Linked DNA regions of Cricetulus griseus. The protein of the gene in region 2 purifies or fractionates together with the protein of the main gene of each other region. This does not show direct contact. Links are inferred from orthologs where the notes say so. Each region holds a gene or a part of one and is shown on either strand. Other genes may lie near its edges.

Region 1 (3,500 bases), on a different chromosome or scaffold from region 2:
ATTTGATGGATTAGCAACAGGGTTACAGAAAGGAGCTAGTATTTGAAATGTGTTTTTAAAAAATGAAGAAGAGGCCAAGCACATTGTTACAAGCCTTAAAGCCAAACACTCAGAAAATCTGAGACAAAATCATGAGTTTGTGCACTCGGAGGCAGAGGCAGGTGGATCTCTGTGAGTTCCAGGCCAGCCTGGTCTAGAGAGCAAGTTCCAGGACAACCTCCAAAGCACACCGAGAAACCATGTCTCAAAAAAACAAAAAACAAACAAACAACCAAAAAACATGAGTTTGCAATCAGCCGGCGATCAATCAATTACACAGGATCTCAATGGGAAATAATATAGAGGATTAGAGATGACTCAAGTGATAAGAGTGCTTGCTATGCAAGCAAGAGGACCTAAATTTGGATTCCAGCATCCACATAAAAAGGCAGATGTGACCACACATGTGTACCTAGAACCTCAGGTCTGTGGGGGTTAAAGACAGGAAGATGAGCCAGGTTCAGTGAGAGACCTGGTCTTGAGAAAATAAGGCAGAGAGTGATAGAGCAAGATCTCCACAGTTGGCTGGGTCTGGTGGCACAAACCTTTAATCCCACAATTTGGGAGGCAGAGACAGGTAGGTCTCAGTGAGTTTAGTTGACTACAGAATAGCCAGGGTTATGTAGAGAACATGCCCTGTCTCAAAACAAACAAACAAACAAACAAACAAACAAAAACAAGGCTGGAGAGATGGCTCAGAGGTTAAGAACACGTGCTGTTCTTCCATAGGTCTTGAGTTCAATTCCCAGCAAACACATGGTGGCTCACAACCATCTCTAATGAGATCTGGTGCCCTCTTCTGCCATGCAAGCATGCATGCAGGCAGAACACTGTATACATAATAAATCTTTTAAAAAGCCTGCTTCTTAAAAAAACAATCCAACGCCCTACCTAGACCAGCGTGTGAACCTGCAAGTTCACCTACATGTGCACACTATGACATATACCACATTCACATGTACATGTACATATACCAAAAATAGAAAAAACTAGGGTGGCATGTACCTATAATCCTAGCAACTGAAGAGTACTGCCTAGTGAGATCCTGTCACAAAAAGGGGTGCAGGGCTAGAGATGGCTTGGTGGTCAAGAGTACTTGCTGTTGCTCTTGAAGGGACTACATGTAGAAGTCCTCACCCATATGGTAATTAACAACCATCTGTATGCAAATCGAGTTCCAGGGCATCCAACTGCTGACCTCCAAAAGCACCAGCACATACATGATGTACATACGTGGTGCACATATACACAAGCATAACACTCATACAGATTAAATCTATCAAAAAAATGTAAAGCCAGGCAGTGGTGGCCTTTAATCCAAGGACTCAGGAGGCAAAGGCAGGAGGATCTATGTAAGTTCCAGGACAGCCACAGAGCTGTTATAGAGAAGCCCTGTCTTGAAAAAAGCAAAAATGAAAATAATTATGGGGAGGAGGAAGGATTGTGGTTCGGAAAAAAAAAAATTGAAGGGAAGAGGCATTGTAGTGCATGCTTTAACTCAGAAATAGATGGGCTTTTGTGCTGCTACATTTTTTTTAATGAGATGGGGTCTCATGTAGCCTAGGCTGGTCTTAAACTAGCTGTTTAGCCAAGGCTAGCTTTTGAAAGAAATCTTTGACACTACTATTACCCTTCTTGACTTTGTTCAATATTATCTTATCTTGCTGGGTGGTGGTGGCGTACGCCTTTAATCCCAGCACTTGGGAGGCAGAGGCCGGTGAATATCTATCTGTAAGTTAGAAGCCAGCCTTGTGTACAGAGTGAATTCCAGGACAGGCTCCAAAGCTACAGAGTAATCCCGTCTCAAAAAACAAACAAAAAAGCATCTTGTTGAGTGCAGGCTCAATGCCCAGAAAAGTTATACATCAAATAGTTATACCACATTTCTATTTTATGTGCAACTTAAAAATCATGCCAAATATAAATGTAAATGACCAAAGAAATAAGGACAAACTGCCCACATACAGTAGTTTCTCCTGTTTAATGCCCATCAAAAACTACAATCGTAGAAGTATGAGGCCCTCCATCAATTCCTCATACAAAAAACACCACTCTATCAATAGTTTGTTTTTCAAATTTATCCAAAATTTAGAAACTGGAGAGATAAAGGTACTTGCTGTGTTTGCAGAGGACCTGCATTTGCTCCCAGCACCCATGTAATACCTTCTGTAACTCCAAGTTTGGGAGATCTGACACTCTGTTCTGGCCTCCTTGGGCACCTGTCCTCATACATGCACACAGCAACATACTATACCAAACACATACTTTGTTTAGTATGAAATCTTAAGACCTTAGAAAAAGGGACAGTGTTTTGCCTACCTGAGAAAGATCAATGAAATGATTGGCTTCTGCCATCACCTTCACTCGGAAGTTTGTACCGTCATCTGGGCTCAGGGCATAGCAGAACACCTGAAAGGCAGGAGGGTGTACTTAATAACCTTGGCTCCAACCTTCTCAAGACAGTGAGCTTAATACCAATGACAGAGTAAAGCCACCAAAAACTATGCTTACCTCAAACTTATCAGGATTGTGCATGCCTGGAATAGACTGCATAAGGTGAGAAGTAGGGTGGTTCCCAAAGTCAGAACTCACATATCCCACACGCAATCGTCCATCACTGAGTTTCAAGTCTTTTGGATGTTCATATGGTGGTTTATGAAGGACATTAATCTACCGACAGAATACAATGTTCATTAGTAAAGTCAAGTCTTGTGTAAATCTTATCTTAAAAAAAAAAAAAAAAACTAATGTAGGGCGTCAGTGGTGCAGGTCTTTAATCCCAGCACTTGGGAGGCAGAGGAATGCAGATCTCTGTGAGTTCCAGGCCAGCCTGGTCTACAGAGTGAGTGCCTGGATAGGCTCCAAAGCTACACAGAGAAACCCTGTCTCAAAAAAACAAACAAACAAAAAACCTGATAACGGGGGCTGGTGATATAGCTCACTTTGTAGTGTGTTTTGCCTAATATGCATAAAGCCATAAGGGTTCCATCCCCAGAACTACATAAAAAGCAGACTTGATGGTGCCCTTCATTGATCCCAATCATCAGCAAGTGAGACATATGGATCTCTGAGTTTGAAGGCAGCCTGGTCTACATACTGAGTTCCAGGCCAGCCAGTGTGACATAGTGAGACAAAATAAATGGACTGGTTGGTGCACTCCTGCGATCCCTCCAACTGGGACGTGGAATCAGAGGTTCGAGGTAATCCTCAGTTACAAAGAGAGTTTAAGGCCAATCTGGTATACATAAGACGCTCTCTTTTAAACGATTAAGTATAATAAATGAAGATAGAAACCTAAAATCATATAAACCCCTAACTATGAAAAAATCTGGACAGTAAACTTCATTGAATTCACGTGGCCCCAAGGAAGGTGAGCAGCTGTATGATGGTTGCTTCATACCTCACCTGTTCTGAGACTTATGAAACAGCCTGAACAGACTTCTAAGTGAAGAAATGTGAAT
Region 2 (4,033 bases):
TTATTATCTTCTTGCCAATCTGAGAGGGGCCAGGAGCAATTAGAACCTTCCACCTGACTAATGTATGTGGTCACCACAAACACTGAATTCAATTGTCCAAAAGTAGTTAATAATAATTCTGTTACAAAATGAACAGCCCTGGCACTGTCACTCACTGCTGGCCAGGTGTTCCCTATGCAGTAGAAGCTAATAAATTCCCCAGCACTCAGTAGGACAAGACTTTTTTTTAAATGGGAAGAAGACTCAAGTCTCCCTCTCACCCCCACAAAGACACAGAAAATTCTAAAACACAAAACCACATAAAAGATATGCAAAATTGCATACGGCGTTCCCACAAGTCCTCTTTCAAATGTACAACACAAAAGAAATTCCTGTTCGGATTACTATTTTTAACTGAAGAGTCAAAGAAAAAAAAGAGAAATAACTTACTTAAGATAATTGAGCTTGAAGGTGAGCCAATGATAAAATAGAAATAGCAACCTTAACCATGGAATTCAAACCACAGTAAATTTAAGAACCTAAAGAGGCTTAAAATAAAAGCAATTCCAAATTGCTAGAGCTGTCCAACTAATAAGAATCAAAGGAGCTTTGAGATGAGAAATTTTTTAGAATTGCCAGGACACAAATAACACGGGATTTGAAAGTACTTTCACCTACCTCTAACAAGTAGGGTTCTGGGCAAGCAAATTTTCTTTGGGTGCCCAGAATCATAAACACCTGCACACAGAAACTCAAAATTTCAATGAACAGTCAAGACTCAACAACCTCCATGGCAAAATAAAACATGCTTTATATTTCAGCTTTTTCCAAATGTTCTAGTTTTTGATTGAATCACAGAAGGGGGGGGCAAAAACACCACCAAGGAGTTTCAATTTTCATATGCCAGAAAAAAAAAAATAAACCGAACTACAACCTTCACACAAACAATCCCCGTTACTGTTCCCAGGGTAACAAGAGAAGATGATCAGGAACGCCAGTGGAAATTCTCTGGTAGCTCAAACAGCCTGGTTAAATCAATAACTGGCTTTCATGAGTCCAAGAAAAGACAAGGTTGCACTCTAGATTTTTATCAACCTCTGACACTTTTGAAGCAGAACTCACTTTTCAGTAAAAGGGACAATAAGAAAGCTTCACTCCATCATTAAAACTGAATTATAACAATTACATATAAAATACAGGGCGTCAACAGACAAGTAGGATGCACCATAACCTTGCACTGTGGCGACTGAGGAAGTAACATCCCATTAGGATTGTCATCAGCAATATTTTATAAGAACATGCCTCAAGTCTTTTGGCTTTATATAACCAAAAGGAAGTGGTCTCACGAGTTCACAAACACTCTGGGCAGGCAGCTAGCTCAAGTTCAAGCAATCAATTTACTTTTTTTTTTTTTCTTGCTAAACCCTCTTAACAAGAGCCTCTGTATGAACATAAATTCTTTGCAAAGTGTATTCAGTTCCTCTGCAAAGTGCCTACCTCTAGTGCAGTCACAGCGGTTCAGTGTGATTGCAATGTCCACGGGCCACCTGCATAATAATCCCTTAATCAGCTGGCTAAAGTACTGTTTCTAAGCAGAATCTCGGGTTCAGTGTGTTTCAAATGAGTCCTAGAAACAGCGTTTTGAACAAAAGTCCCTAGGTATACTCCCACTGGGCACTCAACTTTGAGAACCACTCTGCTCAGGGACGAGATTGGTCCTTAGCAATTGCTTCCCGACACACACCTGGTTTAAATTGCCCACACTCTAAACGCTTCTCGTGTCCTTGAAACCAGGGGAGGCGTCCCACCCCCGCGGTGTCCAGTGACCCACACTCCACTGCCCACGAAGTAGTCAGGGAAGCACTTCCGACCCTTCCCGGAAACCTAACTCCCCGCAGATGAATAAACGGCGCTTCCCGGGACCCCCTGCCGCTGCCAGCGTGGGGGAGGGGAGACAGAAGCCCGGGCGCCCGGAGGGGAGGAGCCGCTCGCCAGCTCGCCCCTCCGCAGGAATTCACGGGGGGGGGGAAGGCGGTGTGTGCAGAAAAAGGCGCCGCAGCCCACCGGCCGGGCGGCCGGGGACCTCGGTGCTCGGCCGGCCCCGCCCCCTGCTGCGGTGGGGCAGGGCCTCGCCCCTCCCCCGCCCCGGGAGCCGCGGGAGCCCACCCCCAGACCCCCCGCCGCGGCCCCCCGGGCGCTCGCCTCACCAGGCGCGCGGCCTCGGCCCACGTGCGCTCCTTCTTCCTCTTCTGTTTGTCCTTCATCCTCCTCCTCCTCCGCGGCGGTGGCGTCGGCGGCGGCTCCACGCGGGACCTCCGGCGGGCGGGTCGGGGCGTGGCGGCGCGGGGCTCGGGTGGAGGCGGCAGCGGCGGGGGGCGCGTGGCGGCGGCGCGTGCGAGGACTCGGGTGCGGCCGGAGAGGGCGGCGGGCGCACCGGGACCGGCTGGCGCGAGACCCGGCGCGAGGGGCGGTGGGGGAGGGGCGGCGGCTCCACGCGCCCGCGCTGCGTCAGTCGCCCACGGTGGCGGCGGCGGTGGTGGCGGCGGCGGCGGCGGCGGCGGCAGCGGCGGCGGCAGAGGCAGCAGCCCCGCGATGGCTAAGGAATGCGGCGGCTCCGCATAACCACGGGGTCAGAGGTCACGGCTCGGGCCTCCGCTTTCCCGCGCTGCTGGGAAACCGAGACCGGACTGGTGGCGAGCCGGGATGGCAAGACGCAGCTTTCCCTTCGACGCCCGGGTCCGTGTGTGTCAGCCGTGGGTGTGTGTGTGTGTGTGTGTATGTGTGTGTCCGCGTGTGTGAGAGGGAAGAGTGAGGAGGGGGAGTGTGGGTTTTTTTTTTTTTTTTGAACAAAAACAAACCGAAAGGGTAGCTGGGATTTGTAGTCCTTACTAGCTCCTCGGCCTCCCCCGCTCCGGAAGAAAATGGCTGCCTGGAGTGCTTGGACCACATCTCCCGGCGTGCTCCGGGAACGTGTTTTCCGCCCACTCTCTTCCGTACCCTGCTGCGTTCCGAGCTCGGTAGAGAAGGGGGCGGGAAATCGGTCAGGAAAGGATGGGGCGGGGTCTCGCGAGGTTCGGGAACTAGCGGAGCCCTGAGGGTTTCTGGGAGGTGTTGCTGGGAAGGGGCGGTGGCTGGATTCCCCCTGGCCGCGTTTAACCCGTTGCGAGCCTTTCTTTCGGGTGCTAGGGCCGGGTGTCCAGGGAGGGAGAGGATCCAGAGTTGGTAATCCACTCGCTACCCTGCTTCCACTTTGGGCCTCCCCCTGCATGACCGCTTCTCTGCTGCACTTCTGGTGGGTAAGGAGCAGGGCTTTCCCTTTTGGTCCGCCCTTAAATGACTCAACAGGCGCACAGTAATAAGTAAAGAGACATTCATATCAGTACAACGGTTATTTCTCGATTGACCGACCTAGACGATTACCCATTTCCTCTTGTACTTTCATACCGCTATGTATTTGCCGAGGGTGCACCTGCAGTCGACAGTAGAATTGCTGTCAGGTGAATTTGGTAATGCGGTGGTAGATAAAGACTTAAGGGCCATGTAGATGAAAATGCACCTGAGTGTTATTTTAAAGGCAGTACCCTGGAGAGAAGTCAAGTCCTAGTATCAACCGAATCTAGATTTAGAAAACTAGCTGCCACTCCGTGACTCCTCTTAACCCCTCTGAGCCTCAGTTTGACCTGTGTTAGCATAGTATCCCACAACATGGGGTACAAATTAGCATGGACTGCCTACAAGATCCGGGCGGGGAGAATGTGGAGGATCCTCGTATTATGAGGTTCGTGTGATTTGGCTTCTGGCATGGAATAAATGATAGCTGTTATTACATGCTCACAGTGATTGCCGGTGTGAAATAGGATGAGGTTTGGAGCACCCAGAACATGAAGTATTTTTCTCTGTGCATTTGTTGGATCGATGTCCAGAAACATTTCTACAGTCTATCTTGAACTGCATTAATGGTCCATTAAAAATAACAAAAACTGTAAAAAAGCGATTTCTGTGGATGAGGAAACTCTCTATACTCTATGGTATCAGAACACAGGCAGCCAGTGCT

Evidence for each region.
Region 1: the proteins of Asxl1 (region 2) and Ogt purify together in Homo sapiens (affinity purification with mass spectrometry; 3 studies listed by BioGRID and IntAct, with this or other methods). This does not show direct contact. The link is inferred for Cricetulus griseus from reciprocal best matches to the Homo sapiens genes ASXL1 and OGT.

Annotation. Positions count from the first base shown.
Region 1 is NC_048604.1:68,611,924-68,615,423, forward strand, and holds part of Ogt (UDP-N-acetylglucosamine--peptide N-acetylglucosaminyltransferase 110 kDa subunit), read right to left. Parts: intron 2,710-3,500; coding exon 2,551-2,709; intron 2,449-2,550; coding exon 2,359-2,448; intron 1-2,358. UniProt on the Homo sapiens protein: Catalyzes the transfer of a single N-acetylglucosamine from UDP-GlcNAc to a serine or threonine residue in cytoplasmic and nuclear proteins resulting in their modification with a beta-linked N-acetylglucosamine (O-GlcNAc).
Region 2 is NC_048599.1:26,660,312-26,664,344, forward strand, and holds the start of Asxl1 (polycomb group protein ASXL1), read right to left. Parts: upstream 2,801-4,033; 5' UTR 2,244-2,800; coding exon 2,187-2,243; intron 1-2,186.